Astyanax mexicanus: one gene and its partners. The protein of the gene in region 1 purifies or fractionates together with the protein of each later gene. This does not show direct contact. Links are inferred from orthologs where the notes say so. Each region holds a gene or a part of one and is shown in the gene's direction. Other genes may lie near its edges. The genes, in order: card11, map3k7 and malt1.

Region 1 (7,926 bases):
AATCAAACCCTACACCTAACCCTAACCTTAACCCTTAATAAACCATAAAATCTAACCCTACACCTAACCCTAACCCTAACCTTAACCCTTAATCAACCATAAAATCTAACCCTACACCTAACCCTAACCTTAACCCTTAATCAACCCTAAAATCTAACCCTACACCTAACACTAACCTTAACCCTTAATAAACCATAAAATCTAACCCTACACCTAACCCTAACCTTAACCCTTAATCAACCATAAAATCTAACCCTACACCTAACCCTAACCTTAACCCTTAATCAACCATAAAATCTAACCCTACACCTAACCCTAACCTTAACCCTTAATCAACCATAAAATCTAACCCTACACCTAACCCTAACCTTAACCCTTAATCAACCCTAAAATCTAACCCTACACCTAACCCTAACCTTAACCCTTAATCAACCATAAAATCTAACCCTACACCTAACCCCTAACCTTAACCCTTAATCAACCATAAAATCAAACCCTACACCTAACCCTAACCTTAACCCTTAATCAACCATAAAATCTAACCCTACACCTAACCCCTAACCTTAACCCTTAATCAACCATAAAATCAAACCCTACACCTAACCCTAACCTTAACCCTTAATCAACCCTAAAATCTAACCCTGCACCTAACCCTAACCTTAACCCTTAATCAACCCTAAAATCTAACCCTACACCTAACACTAACCTTAACCCTTAATCAACCCTAAAATCTAACCCTACACCTAACACTAACCTTAACCCTTAATAAACCATAAAATCTAACCCTACACCTAACCCTAACCTTAACCCTTAATAAACCATAAAATCTAACCCTACACCTAACCCTAACCTTAACCCTTAATCAACCATAAAATCAAACCCTACACCTAACCCTAACCTTAACCCTTAATAAACCATAAAATCTAACCCTACACCTAACCCTAACCTTAATCCTTAATCAACCATAAAATCAAACCCTACACCTAACCCTAACCTTAACCCTTAATAAACCATAAAATCTAACCCTACACCTAACCCTAACCTTAACCCTTAATCAACCATAAAATCTAACCCTACACCTAACCCTAACCTTAACCCTTAATCAACCCTAAAATCTAACCCTACACCTAACACTAACCTTAACCCTTAATAAACCATAAAATCTAACCCTACACCTAACCCTAACCTTAACCCTTAATAAACCATAAAATCTAACCCTACACCTAACCCTAACCTTAACCCTTAATCAACCATAAAATCTAACCCTACACCTAACCCTAACCTTAACCCTTAATCAACCATAAAATCTAACCCTACACCTAACCCTAACCTTAACCCTTAATCAACCCTAAAATCTAACCCTACACCTAACCCTAACCTTAACCCTTAATCAACCATAAAATCTAACCCTACACCTAACCCCTAACCTTAACCCTTAATCAACCATAAAATCAAACCCTACACCTAACCCTAACCTTAACCCTTAATCAACCATAAAATCTAACTCTACACCTAACCCTAACCTTAACCCTTAATCAACCCTAAAATCTAACCCTACACCTAACACTAACCTTAACCCTTAATCAACCCTAAAATCTAACCCTACACCTAACACTAACCTTAACCTTAACCTAAGCTTAAAATCTAACCCTACACCCAATCCTAAAATATTAAGATAAGTGTTTGGGTTAGAGTTGAATGTAGGGTTATATTCAATAGAGAATCTTTAATTTGCATTTAATAGACATGTAGTTGAAGGTTAGTTGAATGTCAGTTAAGCATAAAAAAAGCCATCAAATGGAGCATCCAAGTAAAGTGTTACCAATCCAAAGTCTTTTGTTGCTTTCAGTAAAATCATTTTTTGCTCACCAATTTACAAGGTCAATTACCCAACCCACTCATTAGGACTCCTCTTATCACTGGTGATGACCCAACACCAGGAGGGTTAAGACTAGCACCCGCCAAAGTCAGAGCGCACCTGCCTCTTAAAGGGAATGACTACTGGCACGCTGATTGGTTTATTTCACGTTACGCCCAAAATTAACCACACCCACGATTAATTAAGGTAATTAGTACATTGCTTTCACACAAAGTAATTTTTTTTATAACAAATTAATAGGATTAGATTAAAACATGGTTCCTCAGTATGCATGACCAGTGATATTGCACAAAGGTTGAGAGTAAATAAATAGCAATAGTGATGGTGTTGCATTTTTTTTTCATTTTCTGATGCTTTAAACTATATTTTATACTACATATTTTATACTGATTTTTCATTTTTTCACCCTTAATGAGACGTGAGAGGGAAATGACAGTACTCTTCTGCAGATCTGAACACAAATCTTGAAGGGATCAAGAACTAAAAGGGATGAGAGAGAGAGAGAGTACTGTGCAAAGATTTTAGGCACCAAATTAAATAACACTAATCCATTTATCTCAGCAATATGAGTGATTTTACCTGAACAAAGCACCACATTTAATTTAAACAGTTGCAAATAAACATAAATACAGTAAAACTAAATATGTTATATCCTGTGAGTCCAGCTGAAGAATAAAGTGTAGAGATTCCAGATTTCACCTGGATGCTCCTCAGCCAGCATGTGTATATTATGTTCCGTTCCGTCAGCAGCTCACCTGATTTACCACATTTACCAATTTACCAAACCAGGTGTTGATTAACATGATGAGAACTAGAAATAACTCGATTAAACTCAGGTGAGGAGAAGAGATTAGAAGATGTTTTAAGAAAAACAGGGCTGTAAAAGCTCTGCTTTTTGTAAAATTGCTGTTTGTATTTATTGTAATGCTAAGTTAGTGTTTTACTGAACTAATAAACACTTACTTTATACTTTATAACTATATATATATATATATATATATATATATATATAGTTGTGTCTTCTGTGCTCTGCTGTAACATTGCAGATTTCCCTGCTGTGGGATTAAATAATAAAGGCTTATCTTATTTTATCTTATTCTGCTATTCAAATACTCTCTCATGCAAAGTACAGTGTTTTATTGCATCATAACATGTTTTTTTTACACTCTCTGTAATAAAATGCACAGCTGGCTCAGTGTTCTTTAAGAACAGATGACATCCTCGATATGCCTAATAAAACATGTTGTTGATACAATAAAAAAAATGTATGACAGTACGATATAAACTAAAATAAGAATATAAACATAGTGCTCAGATCTCAATACAGTGTAGTATAATGTTAAAATGGTACTTTTGCACAGTTTTATCTTTATAGTAAACACTGTAACCAATACCTGTGCCAAAACAAAATCTTTTTTTTTTCTGTAAAACCATTTGATTCACACAACTTGTGTTTTTATTGATTCTTTTTTTTATTGTATTTTATATATTTATTTATCCAGTTAATTGTAAACATGTGGACTTTTTAAACCAAAGCATGGACTTTTATATATACAAACAAAACTGTTTTTAAATGTTTATGCTTTCTCTTTGTATTTAAATGCTCTTTGTATGAAAAAATAAGGGTTGTTGGAAAAAAGAAAAGAAAAAGAAAGAAAAAGTATTGCATGAATTGATGGTATTTGAATATGTGACAATAAAACTTCAGATTTTTCGAAAAAAAAATATATATATATAATAATAATAATAATAATAAGTGCCAGTTGTCATTTTCTGCACTGTAGAGTGTGATTTTATGGTGGCTGAGAAATGAAAGGCACTACCTTTGCAGTGTTTCTGTTAACAGCTTTTTTACTGTTCATTTACAATTAAATTCTTTGCAGTATAAGGTTAACTATAATTTATTTATTGAAAAAAATAATAACAGCATTATAATTTATTAATTTATGCTACAAAATACCCCAAAAAAGGTGTCATTTGGTAACAGGAAATTACTATTATTACTATTATTATACAGTAATATGCTGTAATTATACACTTCTTTTATGTTATGTGTGTATGTAACTTACTGTAACATTATCAAGAAATATTTACAGTGAATATTCCTACTATTAATAATAATACTTTTAAATTTAAAGTACAAGTCAAACATTTGGACACACCTTAATTAATTGTTCCTAAATTCATTTATTTTCTAAATTGTAGATTCATATTAAATCCAGGAAAACAATTAAGAGACACATATAGAATTATGTAGTAAACCGTAAAAAAATGTCCTCCACATTAATCCCCGTGATCTAAACTTGAATCTTACAGCACTCCATGCCTCCCTCTGCTGAGAATTTTTATAGAAACGAGGATTTCATTTTCCAGCAGGACTTGGCACACTGCCCACACTGCCAAAAGTACCAAAAGTACCAATATTCTAATTTTCTGAGACACTGATTTTTGGGTTTTCAATGATTTTACCAAATTTACCAAACCTCTGGAATATAATCAAGAGGAAGACGAATGATCACAAGCCATCAAACCAAGCTGAACTGCTTATTTTTTTGCACCAGGAGTGAGTGGCATAAAATTAACCAAAAGCAGTGTGTAAGACTGGTGGAGGAGAACATGCCAAGATGCATAAAAAACTGTTATTAACTTTACTTTTTAACTTTATAAATATAAACTTGTTTTCTTTGCATTATTTAAAATCTAAAAGCTCTGCGTTTTATTTTTTGTTATTTCAGCCATTTCTCATTTTATAATAAATAAATGCTCTAAATGACGATATTTTTATTTGGAATTTGGGAGAAATGTTGTCTGTAGTTTATAGAATAAAACAACAATGTTCATTTTACTCAAACATATACCTATAAATAGCAAAATCAGAGAAACTGATCCAGAAACTGTAATGTTTATAGAGCATCTCTCTCTACAGGGTTAATGTATTTGAGTAGACTCTCCTGTAGCCCCGCCCCCTGTGTGTGGGCGGGCCGGCTGTCTCTGAGTGTGTGTGGGTCAGGTGTAAGGTTTGTGTAAGTGGAGGAACTGAGCTGAGCTCCAGGCTGAGATTTTACCTCTCCTTCCTCTGGGTTCGTGGGCCGGAATGTGTGCTGGGTGCTGAGTTGTGGGAGCGGATCTTCTACAGGTGAGTTCTGGGCTGGTTTTAGAACTGGTTTAGAGCAGAGAGCTGTGTGGACAAGTTTGGTAGAAGTTGACGGAGGACGAAGCGCTCGCGCATCGCTGCGCAGCGACGCAACTCAAACCCTGAGAACCTTAAAAACTGCACCTGCTGGAGCACAGCTGAGTGCAACTGAGATGACTTGAGTTAAGTTGAGAAGTATTGAGTTAATTGAAGTCCTAGTCGAGTTATTAGGCTCTTTAAGAAGATCTGGAAGTTTGTGTGTGTGAGGCTGGGTTTTGAGTTGAAGTACTTGTTGGAGCAGTTTTGAGTTTTGAGTGTTTGAATTTGAGTTGAGTTGAGATTGACTTGAAGATAGGTGCTTTTTCAGTTCCCCTAAAAGACTTAAATTTACACAATCTTCTGTGGTGTAAACCAAACACCAAATGTTGTAGTAGTTAATCAGAGTAACCAGTAGGGGTGGGCAATATTATATTGTATACAATATATCGTGACACAGATATACCATGATATTAAAAATCCATATCGTGATAATAGGGCTGTTCTGTCTTACAAGTAGTCTATTATTTACTGTGAAGCTTTAGGTGTATTTATTGTATAATTGTTTTAGTTGCAGTTTATATGCATGCACTGAATATTCTGCAATATTTTTTGCTGCATTATATTATTTTATGCTATATTATTTATTTTGCCACATTATGATTATACTGTTATACTATTATACTATATTCCTGAAATTAATGAATTATTTTAGTTTTCCTATATCGCCAAGTATATCGTTATCGCAAAAATACCCTGAAATATCTTGATATTATTTTAGAGCCATATCGCCCACCCCTAGTTACCAGCATCAGAAACCACAAGTTAACAAGCTAAGTCCCAAGATATAAGCCATCTAAATGTTTGTTTAACACTTTTAAGTTACTACATGATTTCTTATGTGTTCCTTTATAGCCACACTGAATGAGAAGGTTTGTCCCAACTTTTGACTGGTACGGTATTTTTAGGGCTCTATTGTTTATTACTATTGTGGACACAATTGTTTATTTAGTGTATTCTTCTTTTAATAATTATTGTTTTTTTTTTTCAGAAAGATTATGCTGCACAATTTGAAAAGATTTTTGTGAAGTAGTTGTGTTGAGGTTGTGTTCTACCTGCAGAACTTTTTCATATTATTTTCATATTTTCTAATTTATGGCAGTTCATGTTTTTTTTTTTTTTTTTTTTTTTTTTTTTTACAATATTGGAATAGTGCTACAATTGGAAGAGTTGAAGTGAATATGGTTTAAAGAGACAAGAGTAAGCTAAAGTATGCACTATATTTTCTATTTTATCATATGTGCCACCTATAAATCCAGAATTCCTGGTATTTTCTTATTTATGAATATTTTATTCTCTTCAATGACACAGATGCTGTGAAGTTTCATAGTTATAGAGAATTGTCTTGCAATATATTGAGTATCACAGATTCAAAGTATCATGATTTCATCTTTATCACGGGTAGCATATTGTGATAATATGTTTTGCAACACTGCAACTTTGCAACACATTTTATAAATATATATTTTACATGGTAAAGATTGGTGGAAGACAGAGGTTTACTTTATTATGTATTTTAAACTCTGATTAAACTCTTTGTTTTAGTGCTGTTTTCAGATCCCATTGATCTGATTGGATCAAAATTTGATAATTTGTTTAATCCATATACTACTATGTTTTCCTAAAATATCACAAAACATCACATCATTCACAGTATCACATTATATTGAATTGTAATCTGTATCATATCACATCATATCACATTATTTTCATTGTCATATTTGCTCAAAATCTGCTCTCTCAAAGTCATTTAGCCTCACAAATCACAGACTATTTAGACTACAAAACTACATTTATCCAGAGATTGTTCCCATCATGTTTCTGGTCAATATTTATAAGAAACTGTTTGAACAATTGAAGCATCAAACAATGGAGATGACGGGAGAGCTCTGCAAGAGTCATCTAAATGCATTCTTCACAGGAAACATGTCTGCGGTGTTTGAAACCAGTATTAATTGTGCATGTTGACACACCATGAATCATGTTTCTATGTCATATTTGCTCATATTCTGATAATGCCTTATATCACCAGTAAGTTTTTAGGCCTTTACATTAGTCATAAGTCTGATAGTTTTGTGTTTCATGTCTGAGCTGCATGTATTTATTACAGTTAGAGGTGGGGCGAAATCCATTTATTCATACTTTCCTATCGTCTCAAAATATTACTGCTGTATATGGTACAACACACAGCACAGATGGGTCTATTTTAATGTTTTTCCAAACCAAAAAATGACCAAACAAAAAGTTCAGTTTGCTCACACGTGGCTCTATTTTAGTGACCTATAGGCAAGACGTCAACCGCACAACATGCAGCTTGATTTTGGGCATTTCAGTGTGTCTTTGCTATCGTAACGATGGGAAAAGTACACCTTGCACATCTTGAAAAATGCAAAAGGTGTGTACTAATTCTCCTAATTAATAATGGTTGTGGTTTTGGGCGTAATGTGAAATAAATCAGATCAGAATCAAATTGTCACTTTGCATTCCCTTTAAAAACCAGATGTGCTTTGATTTTCCTCTGGCGCATTGCTATTCTAATGGCGCAGTGCTTCTGCGCTTTTCAGCAGAGGAAATTGATCTGCTCGTTCACGCTGTGTTTATTTTTAATGTAAAAGTTGGATTTCCATATTGCAGCATGTCCTTGTGTGTGTGTGTGTGTGTGTGTGTGTGTAAGTAGCAGGAGTGTATGCACATTGAGTATTCAATGCCTGCATTGCCAAAATAGCAATGAATGTTTGAAGATTGACTGTTGTCGGGTTTAAATCAGTTAGTGGCGCACCTGTGTTTTGCCAAGATAGCGATGCACCTGAAATTTTAC
Region 2 (7,654 bases), on another chromosome or scaffold:
TTAAGATTGGTTTATAACTTTTAGTCCTGTAAAATTACAGTAAAATATATTTAAAAATACTTTTTCTGGCAACTAAAATAACTTTGCTTTAAAATGTAAATTCCATTTTAACAGTGCAGTGATTGTATTTGTATTTACAGTAGTTGTGAGTTTTTCTTTTTATTTATTGTTATTATTATTATTATTAGGTTGTTTTTTTTTTGCTGTATTCTTTATGCAGTTTTGGCAGGGAAGTATTAGCAGGATGTTATAAGGTGATGAGTCTGCATTATATTATCTTTATAAATTATATCTAAACTGGTCATTTTGAATAGTGCATGAGGTGCTTATGTTTATATTATACTTATTGTAAATTCTAGTTCCTTTTACCACCACTATTAATAAACAAATTAAATAATGTGCGTCTCTCCTCAATTAATCAATTCACACCAAACTCACTTCAAATAACACTGTTGAATTATGGAGAAACTTGTTGAATTCCACAGTCAGGGCCTGCACAATGCACGGGGAGGACAGACACCCTTGTCTGAATATGAACAACTGCTGTTTGAGTTTTTTCCAGCAGTGGTGATTAATAGGGATCATATTCAGCTGTCACCAAATGATGGTTGAAATCCTGAGTTTATTTTTAGAACGCTGAAGTCATGTGTTCAGGTTACTCAGCAAATGCAATTTTGTTGATCATTTTCCCATCACCTCTGGTCACAGTGCACAAGGTCACACTGCTTCAAACCAAACACAGTACATAAACAAACACAGCAAACAGACCAAAGGGTAAACGGGTAGTCCAGTGTAGTCCAGTGTGTGAGGTTGGACACTAAGCTCTAATATTATACAGAGCTGTCAAATTTATTAACACACAAAAACTTCAAAAAGGCTGCATGCAGTCAACCAAAGCCTAGTTAGCTCTGCACACAAAATAAGCTGTAAAAGTATTCTGAAAGTTTACTGCAACATGGAATTAATTTTTTTGTTTTATTTTGTTTTTTTCTACCTTTGAGATGAGTTGCCGCACCAGAACTAATCATCCAGTGAGTGTCTGATTTCACTAATGCTCTCGCTTTCAGGATGAATGCAATCAAAATCTTGCAGCAATGTTCCAACATCTAGTACAAAACCTTCCCGAAAGAGCAGACACAAGTCCTGCAACAAAGAGGGGACAGACTCATTTTTAATACTAAGGCAGTGTATTGGCATAAACTTATTGATACAGGGGTTACAATCCATTATATTAAAATATATGACAATACTGTAAGTAATGTAATATATTGTGAATGCTAAAATCAATACTTATCACTTTACTGTATTTGGATGAGTCATTACAGATGCCTCATAGATGCTCAAATAATATTTAACGCAATGGGCCCTATTTTAGCGATCTATAGTGCAACGGTCAATTGTGGATCTGCACAACTGGATTTAGGGCGTGTTGGCAGTTCTTTGGTATCGTGTGGGCGAAAACAGCACCCCTTTGCTCAGCTCAAAACGCGCAGGTATTAATTTTCTTAATTAATCATGAGTGTGTTTTGGGCTTAACGTGAAATAAATCAATCAGTGTGTTAGTTGCCATTCATTCCCTTTAAGAGGCAGGTGTGCTTTGACTTTGGCACATTCGTATCTTAACAGGGCAGCACTTTGTGATTCTCAGCAGATGAGATTGACCTGCGCATTCACACTATGAAGGAACGGCAGCAGCTTATTTAAGAAAACAGAAATGTTTTTTTCATTCTTTATTTTGTTTATTATTAAAAAATGGATTTGCGCTCTGTGTGTGTGTGTGTGTGTGTGTATGTGTGTGTGCTGAATTAGCTGGGGTGTACGGCTGCTGGGCACATGCAGCATCATTTCAGTCAGTGGAGATCCTGTGTTTTCCACCGCCAAAATAGCAACACACCTCACTTCCAGACCACCACACCCATCAGTGTAGATTTATTCCTAAACTCCCACACTATTAACGGTGCGGGTGCAAGGCGTGAAAATAGACTGTTGATAGGGTGTAAAATAGCAATGAGCATCGAGACGCACTTTGCACAGGGTGTCCGACCCTACGTCTATTAAATGCAACTGAATGCTCTTTACTCTTTAACCTGAACTGTACTCTTAACATTTTATAGTTAGCTTTAGAGTAGATTTAATGTTTAGGTTAAGGTTTGAGTACAACACTCCTCTCTAGTGGGTGGGGTTTAAACACAACACTAAATGAACCATTGTCTGCCACCAATCTTTACATATAAACCAATAATTAAAAATGAATACTGTGTTTTTGATTTTTGATTTTGCAAAACAAAATATTGAAATACTTAATTATATTAATATTTCCTTTCATTCCTATTTAATTAACTTTTTTGGAAGAATCTGTCTATCTAGGGCATATTATGTCTGTCCAAAATTACTAATTGTATTACAATCTTGGATACACAGAGAACAATATTAATATCATATTGGATCACTCATTCGTGGGACATGAGCTTGTGAAAAGGCCTGTTTTTTATGTTGCGGACAAATCTTTGGACACAACGTTTCTTGTTAAATGTAACATTAAACAGACATTAAAGCTCTACAGGAACACATGCAGAGTCCCTGGAGGTGATAAAGAACAGTTGCTGAATAGTTGCTGCTTTTCCTTTATGCTGTAAAGCGCCAGCTCATCCCAAATCACCTCAAATCACCATCTCAGTTGGGTTTAGGTCAGGGGATTGTGAAGGCCAAACACTTTCTGTTTACTACATAATTTCATATATGCTACTTAACTGTTTTTGTGTGTTTAATATTAATCTACAGTGTAGAAAATAAATTTAACAAAAAAAGAAATGAGAAAAACATTGAATGAGAAGTTTTTATTTGAATATCATGCAGCCCTGATATACAAACATAATGGAGCTAGTTTGCCATCCTATCCTGTTTTAGAACCTACAGCTGCATTCAGGATAGCTCTCTATTACAGAAATAGTGCACTATATAGTGTCTGCCATTTTCTAAAGCTGTTCATAAATCTCAACAGTCTCATTTTATTCCCTAGATAGTTTACTATCAAACACTCATAATGTATCACAAACTGTAGTGTACAGATCATGCAAGCTAGAATTTCCAGCGTATACCTTAATGCCTTGGTGGTAATGTGTTGGTGTTGTGTCAGACGTCCTTAGAGCGGCAAGAATTAAGGGTGTTTTCACACCTGCCTTGTTCGTTCTGAACTTTCAGATTTTTGCTATGGTCTGAACCAAAGTAGCAGGTGTGAAAGTGGCCATGAATCATGGTGCATGAAACGAAGAACCAGAGGTAGGTCCAACCAAAAGTGCTCTCTGTCCGGATCTACTGAACCATGGTCTGGGTCTTCCATGGTCTGCAGTGAGAAAACACTTTTGTAAATGGTTCCAACTTTCAGACTAATTTGACTGTTTGTCATAAAACAGAAATAAAGGAATTTGAGGATAATCTTTTACACTCATTTTTCTGTGGGGTGCAACTGTACAAGGAGCAAACCAGACCAAATATATTCAATTTTAAAAAGATATGAAACTTGGTCAAGACTTTTAGGTGTGAAAACAAAAAAAAGAAATTTGTTGTTTGGTCGTTCCCTCGTCAGTTGGGTCATGATAAAATTAGCTGTTAGGTGTCAGATCATCGTGTTTGGGTAATATTTTGCTGATTGGATAATAAACTTAGCTGTTAGGTGTCAGATCTTTATGTTTGGATTAAACGTTGCTGATGATATCATAAACTTTGTTGTTAGTTGTTGGATCTTTATGTTTGGGTTAAATGTTGCTGATCAGATCATAAATATCCACAACCTCCTAGCTGTAAATTGGAGGAAGTTACCAGTCTGGTGTAGGTGTGTGAGCAGGACAGCAGAGTATAGGAAATGGGAATAGGCTCTATGTGTGACTCAAGATGTTAGGTGTAGCATTTATGTATTATGTTACCTAGATCAACATCACTTCATATCATTATTCACATCAACACTAGATGCTTTTATGTCAGTTCATATGGTTGTATATGTAGAGATCAGCTCCAGACCTAAAGAATTACAGCTCTGGAAAAAATTAAGAGACCAGTTTCTCTGATTTTGCTATTTATAGGTATATGTTTGAGTAAAATTAACATTGTTGTTTTATTCTATAAACTACAGACAACATTTCTCCCAAATTTATAATACAAATATTGTCATTTAAAGCATTCATTTGCAGAAAATGAGAAATGTCTTAATAACATAAAGATGCAGAGCTTAGACCTTATATAAAGTTCAGAAATCAATATTTGGTGGAATAACCCTGGTTTTTAATCACAGTTTTCATGCATCTTGGCATGTTCTCCTCCACCAGTCTTACACACTGCTTTTGGATAACTTTATGCCACTCCTGGTGCAACAATTCAAGCAATTCAAAACAAAATTCTTCCTCTTGATTATATTCCAGAGGTTTTCCATTTGGTGAATTAAAGGAACTCTTCACATTTAAGTGGTCTCTTATTTTTTTCCAGAGCTGTAGTTCTGAGAGCTGGGTGTTGGAGCAGGTTGAGGCTCCATACCGCGGGCTGACTGGAGAGGGCAGGATTCAGAGGAGCTCAACTTCCTGGAAGTACAGCAGTCAGTCAGTCTGTACTGCGCCGGAGGAAAAGAAAAATACACATAAAATAATAATAACAACACACGCGCTCCATGGAGGAGACACGCTAAAAGTTCTCCACCGCTTCTGTAATGGGCCGAAGGCCTTGGTCGCGTGAAACGGACACTTAAGGTGGTCTAAATCGCCCTGAAATGTTAAGAGGTTTGGAGGCGGTGGTGAGGAGCCTGGGCGCCGGTGTGGAGTGAGCGCTGCGCGGCCGAGAGCTGCTCCTCCCTCCCCTGTGCGGCCCGGCGGAGCGCGGCTTAGCTTAGCTTAGCTTAGCCTAGCCTAGCTGAACTAGCTTAGCAAGCGCTAGTTCAGCTGCGGATCGCAGTCTTGAGTTTTGTTGTTGCCAGTTTGAGCTCGTTTTTTGTGTTGTGTTGTTTTCTGAGCTAACCTTCAGACTCCGCTGAATTTAGGAGGAGAAGTTTAGCTAGATAACGCTATGTACTGCCGACCCTGTCCTTCAGACTCGGGTTTGTTTAAAAGCCGCCTGTCCCGCTTCTCTCGGGCCAGTGTTGCATTCAGATAGACGGGTTAGCGCTAGCTTAGCTTAGCTATCGTTTTGGGGCTGCTGGTCTGGGAGCTAGAAGTTTTTAAAGTGGTGAAATTCCTGTGAAGCTCGCGGTGTAATGCGGGGCTCGTTAGGAGAACCAGTCCCTCTGCTTGTGGTTGAATAGCAGAGGTCCTTCACTGTAACCGCTGAATGTGTTTAGGCTCCAGAATCGCCATTCTTTGTTCGGTTTTGTGTTTTTAATGGTCGCTGTTAGCCGGTTAGCTGGCTAGCAATGTCTGTCCCCTCCGCCGAGATGCTTGAGACACCACCTGGATATCCGTTTGAGGAGATAGATTATGCTGATATCGAAGTGGAAGAGGTAACTAAACCTGTCCCTGTATCTCTCTTTAGCTTTATTAAAGATAATTAGTGAGTGGGGTTTCATATTCATGTGCAGAATTCAGTAAAACACGCCGGTTTGTCACAGTTGTTCAGCTGTTTCTAGCACACACCTCAGCAGTACACCTGGCTAAGGTTAGGCTAGGTTAGCTTACGTTATCTAGCTACTCTACCTAAAAACCGGTTTTATTTTAATTAGATATTTTTCACAGAAAAATCTTAAGCAAGACTTTTCACTAGATAAACTTTCAGTGCAGTTTTTACTTTAACGTTACAGTACACATGCTGATTTATACCTTATTTAAACATAGCACGCAAATTTGCTAAGGGCATTTGTGTTTGGTAGATTATTTCTTTAACAGTGATTCTTGTCAATTAATTTCCCTTTTAAATGATTTCACATGTGTACCTAATGAACATGCTTTTAATGGATGAGCAGATTAAACCTGAGTTTTTGGTTTGTGCCCATGAAAACTTTGCCAAATCTTCTTAGCTTATGCTGTTGCTATGGAAATTTGTTTTGAGCTTCTAGTACCCCCACATGATTGGCACCTGATTGGCAGCACCTGTGAGTAGGCATGCAATGATTAGTCAATATAATCGAGAAGTTGAATCAGAATAGTCGTTGTCGACTAATCATCAATTTGTCCACTACACAAAGTACTGGGGACAGAAGCACAACGGGAGAGGGGTCAAAATCAACTCAACCTGCATCTCCAAAAGTGCACAAACACAACAGTTAACCTATTTCCACATGTAAAGGACAATGTTCTGGACATTTGAAGGGCATTAAAATGCCACATCCAGTTGTTTACCCACAGCAAAGAATTGGCATGCCATGTTTGAATGAGCTGGATAGTCTACATAGGGCAGCTTCAAGCTGTTGTTCCTAGTTGTTCCAAAACCTAGTTGTGGAACCCTTGTAAAAGTATCTTCAAATTGAAGGCCAGGTTACATATAACGGTGAATGTTAGAGGCTGTGAAGGGGGCATCACATGAAGGTAAATTTGCTCTTAAGCAGAGAGCATTTCAAGAAAACATTATGGGCACAAGCCACATACTAAGCTCTGCTGCGCATCTCACAATTACAAATGTTGCTTTATTTACAGTAAGAATTAACTGGGTTTTCTTTGTATAAGATCTATTGCCAATAAACATTGTTACAACAAAGAAATAATATACCAAACACACAGGTTTTCAGCGTCTATGTACAGATGTTAAACCTCACATTGCTAGCTAAGATTGCCCAGTAAACCTACATGGATCCTTCATACGAAGCAAATGTCTCATTTTCAGGTGGTGGGCAGAGGAGCGTTTGGTGTCGTCTGCAAGGCCAAATGGAAGGGCAAAGATGTGGCTATCAAGACCATAGAGAGTGAATCTGAAAGAACTGCCTTTATAGTGGAGGTACAGTGAAATCAAGTTTTACTTAATTCATCACACAAACAGTCCTACACCCAGGGGCGATTCCAGGATCAAATCAACCCAGTCCTTTCATTTTTACTTTCTCTTTAAACAGTTTTTTAGAAGATAAGAAGATAAAATTGTGTTCATTCTCTCACTCGAATTTAAACAATGGCTGATTGGTAGGCTGCAGCTTAACCTAATAAATTAAAAGTGCCAGACAGTGACAGCATAAAGAGTGATGCTTGATGGTGAGTGTGAGCAGGCTTAGCACACAGGAGGACAGAGAAAAAGTGAACTATACTTTTTGTGTAGTGAGTAGAGACTGCTGCATTTTTATTCTTAAAATACAGTTTTAACAATTTTGAACCTTTTACTTTCATTTTAGAACTAGTTTGAACTAGTTACACCCATGCTCTTTGTAGGTTAGGCTTAATCATTAGAGATTGATGATCAGTTAGTCCAACTTGTGTAGAAGGCTAGACATCTGCCAAGCACTGTGCCCAGTTGTCCACCTACACAGCAGGTTGATGGTTTTCTCAATTTGACTTAAGAAGGGCTTGATTCTTAGCCAATAGTGTGACTCAGCTGCAGCACAACTCTACTCTGTGCAGGTAGACAACAGGAACTGACTCTGATTCACAGTGTAACTCTTTCTTTTTCATCTCCAGCTTCGTCAGTTGTCTCGAGTAAATCATCCCAACATTGTGAAGCTGTATGGCTCCTGTGACAATCCTGTAAGTGCCTCAGT
Region 3 (7,156 bases), on another chromosome or scaffold:
TGTCTTCAAGTGTAATGTATAAAAGTCTCGGTAAATATGTAAAAAAAATATTAACAATATGGAACACCATGCCTGGTAACAGAACTGAAGTCTGAATAAAGTGTGTGAATAAACCTAGCTAGCCGAGATTAACTAGTCATCTCAGCTAGCTAGCTAGCTAGCGAAGTGTTTTATCAATGAACATCAAAGCATCTGCTGCTGCTGGTGATGTTTGTTGTTCTTTTTCTCTAGGATAAATCAGGAGAGATATTTTATTAAAGTACCACTCAATGGGTGTTGATTGGCTGATGGATAGTTTACTAATAGTGAAGTTGTGACTTGGAGTGAGGCAAACCCACCTTATTTAATGTGAAAAAAACTAGTTTATTGTGTTTTAAGAATATGTATATAATTTATGCAAAGCAGGGAAAATGTTTACGATAATTACATGATCATGTATAATTTTGTATGTAACTAGAGTTTAATAGGGCAAACGACTCACTTAACAACACTACCAAGCATCGCTATCCACTGAAAATGACCTTTGACCTGGGAGTCGGTTAATGAATCGGTTAATGAATCGGTTAATGAATCGGTTAATGAATCGGTTTGTGAATCGACTCCCAGGTCAAAGGTCATTCTCCTCTGATGGGTGATTCCTCGGAATTTTCTAAAAGACAGTTCCGTTCCTGGTATGGCAATTCTTCTCTGTCTTTCTTTTGTTTTAAAAAGTGATTCCTTTCTTCTCTTTTTGTCTTTTGTCCTTCCTCTCTTCTATTTCCAAAAATGATTATTCTTTTTTGGAAAGCCAGTTCTTCTCTCTTTGATTCTTTGATCCATCTCTTCCCTTTTTCTTTCCAAGGGTGATTCTTTTTATTTTTCTTTAAAAGCTGAATTCATTCTTATTTTTTTTTTTCTTTTGAAGTCGAAACCTTTCTTTTTGTTTCTTTTTCTTAAAAGGCGATCCCTATCTTTAAATTTATTTCTAAAACTTTTTTTTTTCAAAAAGTAATTCCTCAGTCTTTTTTTCTTTTGAAGGTCTATTCAATTCATTTTTTTTCTTTCACATAGCTCTCTTTTTACTTTTTTCTTTCTAAAATGGCAATTTTTTGTTTTTGTTTCTTTAAAAACACAATTCTTCTCTCAATTTTTAATTTAAAAGGGTTTTCCTTTCATCTTTCCTTACAAACGGCGTGAATATCAAATTTTCACAATATCAGCTTTTCTGAAATGCGATTTTTCATTTTCTTTTGGAACCTGATTATTCTAATGTGAACAGTTATCATTTGATTCTTTAAAGATTCTTTAATTATCTATTGTTTTTTTTTTTACTGTATTATATATTACAAACCAATGATTTTGCTCAGTATTATGAGATGTATACTTTGGTGATTGTTTGATCATGTTGGCTTTTCGCCCTGCAACATGTTTTATACTTTTATTTGTAGGCAAATCATTTAGTGCTGTCGGCACTGCAGATGTTGCAGGCTACTATTCTTAAGTTAAGTTGTCTAAAGCAGAAACTCATCTCTACACTGCATCAACCTCTGTAGCTACTACATACCAGCCTTATGTTTATTCTAAATGTGCCACTTTTTACCTAAATAAAAAATATATTTTTTCTTAACTTGTCAGTTGGTCTGTGTTCTTATTTTGGGGGTGTTTGTGTGATGACTTTAAAAGTAATGATGCGAATCAGCTGAATTTAATGCGCCACTGAGTGAGTAATCCAGAATGCTAATCACTCTGCAGGTCATAGTGTTAGCTAGCCAATCGCAGCGCAGTGGGCGGGGTCTGTCTGAATTTGGGTGGGAATCAGAACAGCAGGAGATGAAGGCGGTGTGCTGAGAGATCAGTTACAGACAGATCTGTGTTCGTTTGGAGGCTGTTTGTTGGAGGGGTGACATTTCTGACGCCACACTTGAAAAGAACCTGATCCAGCTATTCTCATTTTCTCGGTATTGAGATTTAAAGGTTTAATGTCTCTCACGGTGTTAGGAGGTTTAAGTACACTGGTTTTACTCACCGGACCGGTTTTTTTCGTTAATCAGTCCTTAATTAGTGTTTTATTTATTGATTTTATTTTAACTTTTGCAGTATCATATCTCGCAAATAAAATGACTACAAATGTATATACTGTAAATAAATACTTCGATGTTAAATCAACCGCACAAGTTATGCTACAAATATACCAGGCAAATTATCCTGGAATTAAACTACCACACTGACATTACCCTCAAAAGCAAGGGCGTAGGAGCGGGCTTGATATTGGGGGGGACACATTTGCCAATATGAACCCAAGCCCACCCAATAGTTTCCTAGAACAACATTTGTGGAAATTACTTTTAATTAAAAGTAAATTATTATTAGTAAATGGTGATTTTACAACCTAAACATGTTACTCCACATTACAGCTACTGTTGTTACAAAAATTATGCAAGAAATGTCTGAGTTATCACCTAATATTTAAAATAATATAACAGATTATTATTATTGTTATTATTATTATTATTATTGTTATTATTATTATTATTATTATGTATTGGCAATGTCAATTCTGTTGTATATTTACATTTTCTCCTGCACTTTTATTTTTTTTCTACTGAGAGCTCTTCTTAAGATGGTGTCCTTTTATGTAAAAGAATGTAACTTTACGTTTCATAGAGACTTTTATAAACGTCAGGATATGTGGTCTTACTGTGAAATACAAATGAGCAGAAGTCACGTTACAGCAGTGTTTCTCAACCCTGTTCTTATATATTCTACTGCATATTAAAACTGTTCTGCATATTCTAGAGCTTCCTCTGGTGGATATACATGATTAATTTAGACTCCATAGGGGGCTAAAGGATTTTAACAGGTAAACTCAGTAAATGACTGTTTATTAGCTGATCAGGTGGAAAACACTAGTTTAGGGCAGTGATCGGGGTTAAGTAACTGCTTTAAACTACCAAACTACCAAAATTCTGGCGATCATCTACATCCAGCTTCTAGATAACTAGTTAGTTAAATCAATTTTCGTTCATTATAGCTCACAGTAAGTCCTGTAATCCTAAATGAATAAACAGTTTGAAAATGAAAGTGATTAGCTGATCAGGTACAGGGAAACATTACATATATATTTTATTTTTTTCCTTTAACCCTGACTCCCAATCTAGCTAATTCCAAAGATAAGCTTACACACTAACACAGCTGCAGTTTATTAATCACAGTGGGTTTAAACTTTGTGCTGATTCAGAGACGTGTATTTTTAACCAGCTATCAGAAACATAACATCACAGTTGAAGTGGTTAGCCTATCGTTACCTTTCTTTTAGAAAAATCTCCGTATATCCATATCTGTTTTAAAATCAGCTGAAGCTGCTGCGTCCCGATCCCGCTGCTAAATCTCACAGCGAGGGGGCGGGGCTTCCCCAACAGCAAACTGCCTCTGCTCCGCGCGCCGCAAAACCAGCAAGCTGATTGGCTGTTTCTACTGAGAGGCGTGACTTAATACCTGAACCGGCTCCGTGATTGGTCCGGTCTGTCTCCTCATTAATAGTACAGCTGACCTGAGCGAACTGATATCATTTTTGGGGGGGACAAATCCACCTGTTTTTAATATTGGGTGGGACATGTCCCACCCATCCCCCCCGGTTCCTACGCCTATGCTCAAAAGCATTAAACAATACGTTACTGCTGCTAAATGTGATACGATGATATGATACTGGTATATGAAATAAAATATGCAGAACTACCCATTTCTCTCTGCATCTCTCTTTTTCTCTGGCTTTTCTCTCTCTCTTTTTTTCTCTCCCTTCTCTCTCCTTTCTTTTGCTCCCTCTCTCTCGCTGTCTCTCTTTCTCTCTCTCGCTCCCCGTCTTTCTCTCTATTGCAATTCTCTGTCTCTCTTTCTCTCCTCCTCTTTCTCTCACTTGCTCCCTCTTTCTTTTTCTTTCTTTCTCTCTCTTCCTACTCACTCTCATTCATTGTGCCCTCTATCTTGCTCTGTCTTTTGCTCCCTCTCTCTCTCTTTCTCTGTCTTTCTCTCTCGCTCCCCCTGTCTCTTCCCCCCCCTCTCTCTCTCTCTCTCTCTCTCTCTCTCTCTCCACACGCACGCACGCACACACACACACACCTTCGTCACAGTCACACACATCAGGAAGTAGACCTCAGCAAGAAACGTAGACATGTTTATAGAGGTGAAGTGGATTTCCCCACCGAGCAAGGAAACTACAGCGATGTATCATCTCTTTTTTTTCTTCCTCCACCTTTTTCCTCTTCTCTGAGCAGCTCTGAGGTACATCTCTCTCTATTACTTATCTCTATATATGTTACTTTCTTTGTCAGGTTTGCTTAAATATTGAGATGTGGACTAAAGTTAAATGCCAATCTGTCTCTCTCTTTTCTAACCTAAAAATATAAGTTACAGCTAGCTTGCTCTGATGCTCTTCTCAGGCAGGTTAGCACACTGCAGCACGCCTGTGTTGTTAAAATGTAGCTAGGGTTAATTTCCCTGAGACATTTTTAGGGGGTCTTCAGTTTGAGACGGAGGAGAAATCGCTTAGGGTGCTTTAGGGGAAACCTTAACATTTCTGGAAGAAAAATGTTCATTGAAGCACCTTAAGCTTTCTTGAAGGTTTTCTCAAAGTAGTGGTTTCTACTGTGTTTGAACCCATAAAAGATTGTTTAGGAAGTTTGTTTAACTGTGCTTGTCAGTAGAACCCACAATCTGGTGTGAAATATTAGATTAGTCCAAAATTTTAATCCTTCTGGCATAGTGTTGCCCTCGTGCAACAAACCAAATTTTTTGATTAATGCACCTTTTTATATCTTATTTTTGATTATTTACTTACTTAATTATCTTTAATATAATGTTACACGTCCAATACAATGAGGCATACAAGTGGGTGATAAATAAAAATGTGTATATGAGCAAGAATATGTAAAGAAATATATTTGGCTCCTAATATCTAGATTAATACTAGATTCTTACATTCTTGTTGTAAACCTCCTCTTATCTTTCATGTTTTGGGTTTGCTTCCTTGCTCTAAAACACCTGATTCAAATTATCATCTTATTATCAAAGGTCAAAATCTAAATTAATGTTTGCTATATTCAAAGGGACTTCCTAGCCTCTAGAGCTGGGCGATATGGCCCTAAAATAGTATCATGATATTTCATGGTATTTTTGCGATAACGATATTCTGGCGATATGACAAAACATTCAAATAAAACATAAATACACTACTGGAACAAAATGAAAATGAAATTTTAATATTGCATATGGTATGATATGGTACACCCCTATCTGTAATATTAAAAAAATACAAGAATTTTATCAGATTGTAACAGAAGTCAATGAGTCACAATGTCATGATACTAATACTACAATCCATATATCTCTATATATCCAAAACTAAAGTAAAATTAATGATACTGGACAGATATATTCTGTCTCTAGTAAATATATAGTAGAAAAATGAGAACAGTGTGATTTTTCCTTTTGCTAAAAACAGCAAAAAAGTAGTACCCTGATGTTATAATTAGTGGGGGGTAATATGGCACGTTATTTCAGGATATAATATCGTTCATGATATTCAAAAAAGTTGACGATATTATCATGTACTATACGATTTGGCACACAAAACTACCAGAACTCAGCCGAATTAGATTAAATTGGCCCGTTCATGGCCCTGATGAAATTTCATCTGTGAAATACTTTCATGGTGACTACCGGTAACTAAACTATCTAAAACCTGTTAATTAATTCATATACAGCATGAATCTACAGCATATAAAACACAACACATGAAACAGCAGCCACTGATTTACTTCTTTCTCTTTATTTCTCTCTATAAATCTCTTCCTGCTGTCTTTGAATGTTGCTGCTGGTCAGCAGATTGTCAGCACAACCAAGAAACCCGAAGAACCCATTCACTTCTTCCAGCCTGACCCTTTTTAACCAGAGTCTCAGCAATGTCTCAAGATTCTCACGACGGCTCACTGAACATTAACTCTCTGAAGGAGCCTGTGCTACGGAGGCTCTGCGAGTGTCTGGACAGAGCTAATAATAAAGGATGGAGGAAGCTGGGGGAAACGGTCAGCAGTGACCGGCGGTTTAGAGTGAGGTAAGATCTCAAGACTAACCACAGAGGTTTTACAGTGTTTGTGGTGGTAAATCAGTGTTAGTGCTGTTGGTAAATTTTTAAAAAGAAAAGAGTGTGAACTGACTTCTCTTTCTTCTACTGCACTGCTGGAGGTTTTTTAAACACTGTATTCACTCACTGTTATTTTTTTTTTTCACTGTATATATTTAAATTTTTTGGCAGTGAAGGAGGAAGTGTATGTCTGTCTCCACCTCCCACTGACATGTTTTCTTACTGTCTCTCTCTCTCTCTCTCTCTCTCTCTCTCTCTCTCTTTGTTACATTCTTACCTTTTTTTTCTCTCTTTCTCTCTCTGTCTCTCTGACCCCCCACCCCCTCACTCCTTTTATCTCTCTCTCTTTCTCTCTCTCTCTCTCTCTCTCGCTCTCTCTCACACCCCTCTGCTCCCCTCCCCCTTCAGTTTAGATGACATGGAGATGTGCTCTCTGAAGGTGTTGGAGGTGGAAGGCAGCCCCTCCCGCAGTCTGCTGAGGCTCATGGGAGATCGAGGCTGTACACTGGGACACCTGGTGGAGTTCCTGAAGATGATGGGTCACAGTGAAGCCATTCAATGCCTTAAATCAGGTACATCTGCCGCTGCACTCACACACTTTAACACTGTTGTGTGATGGTTGTGACAGTCCTGTAACTGACTAAAACTATTAAATAAGTCTTTAATCCACAAACTTGCAAAATGACACTAAATTACATTATATTGATGGAAATCCACCTGATGTTGCGGTTTTAGACAATTGGGCCCAATCCTATTTCAATCCTTGTCTCTTCCACTTAGCCCTACTCCTCTGTTTTGCATGTGTACGCCTAGATATAGGGTGTCCTCAATCTTGATAGGCTGGAGGAGGTAAGTGGGGGGGGGGGGGAGTTGGAGCTACATTTAAAATATTGCAAAAAAAATCCCCCTATCCCCTTTTTTGAAGACATACAATAAGGCCCTAAAGTTAACTAGTTATCCAGCAGCTAACTTTCTGAACACGGCTAGATTTTTTTTATTGGGTTTTATTGGGTTTTAATAGTTATTTTCAATTTTAAG

The links.
Region 2: the proteins of card11 (region 1) and map3k7 purify together in Homo sapiens (affinity purification with western blotting; 3 studies listed by BioGRID). This does not show direct contact. The link is inferred for Astyanax mexicanus from reciprocal best matches to the Homo sapiens genes CARD11 and MAP3K7.
Region 3: the proteins of card11 (region 1) and malt1 purify together in Homo sapiens (affinity purification with western blotting; 6 studies listed by BioGRID and IntAct, with this or other methods). This does not show direct contact. The link is inferred for Astyanax mexicanus from reciprocal best matches to the Homo sapiens genes CARD11 and MALT1.

Annotation. Positions count from the first base shown.
Region 1 is NC_064410.1:55,729,637-55,737,562, forward strand, and holds the start of card11 (caspase recruitment domain-containing protein 11), read left to right. Parts: upstream 1-4,858; 5' UTR 4,859-5,015; intron 5,016-7,926. UniProt on the Homo sapiens protein: Adapter protein that plays a key role in adaptive immune response by transducing the activation of NF-kappa-B downstream of T-cell receptor (TCR) and B-cell receptor (BCR) engagement.
Region 2 is NC_064408.1:47,758,498-47,766,151, reverse strand, and holds the start of map3k7 (mitogen-activated protein kinase kinase kinase 7), read left to right. Parts: upstream 1-4,559; 5' UTR 4,560-5,392; coding exon 5,393-5,479; intron 5,480-6,795; coding exon 6,796-6,906; intron 6,907-7,574; coding exon 7,575-7,640; intron 7,641-7,654. UniProt on the Homo sapiens protein: Serine/threonine kinase which acts as an essential component of the MAP kinase signal transduction pathway. Plays an important role in the cascades of cellular responses evoked by changes in the environment.
Region 3 is NC_064429.1:23,829,948-23,837,103, forward strand, and holds the start of malt1 (mucosa-associated lymphoid tissue lymphoma translocation protein 1), read left to right. Parts: upstream 1-4,066; 5' UTR 4,067-4,257; intron 4,258-5,856; 5' UTR 5,857-5,936; coding exon 5,937-6,088; intron 6,089-6,526; coding exon 6,527-6,690; intron 6,691-7,156. UniProt on the Homo sapiens protein: Protease that enhances BCL10-induced activation: acts via formation of CBM complexes that channel adaptive and innate immune signaling downstream of CARD domain-containing proteins (CARD9, CARD11 and CARD14) to activate NF-kappa-B and MAP kinase p38 pathways which stimulate expression of genes encoding pro-inflammatory cytokines and chemokines.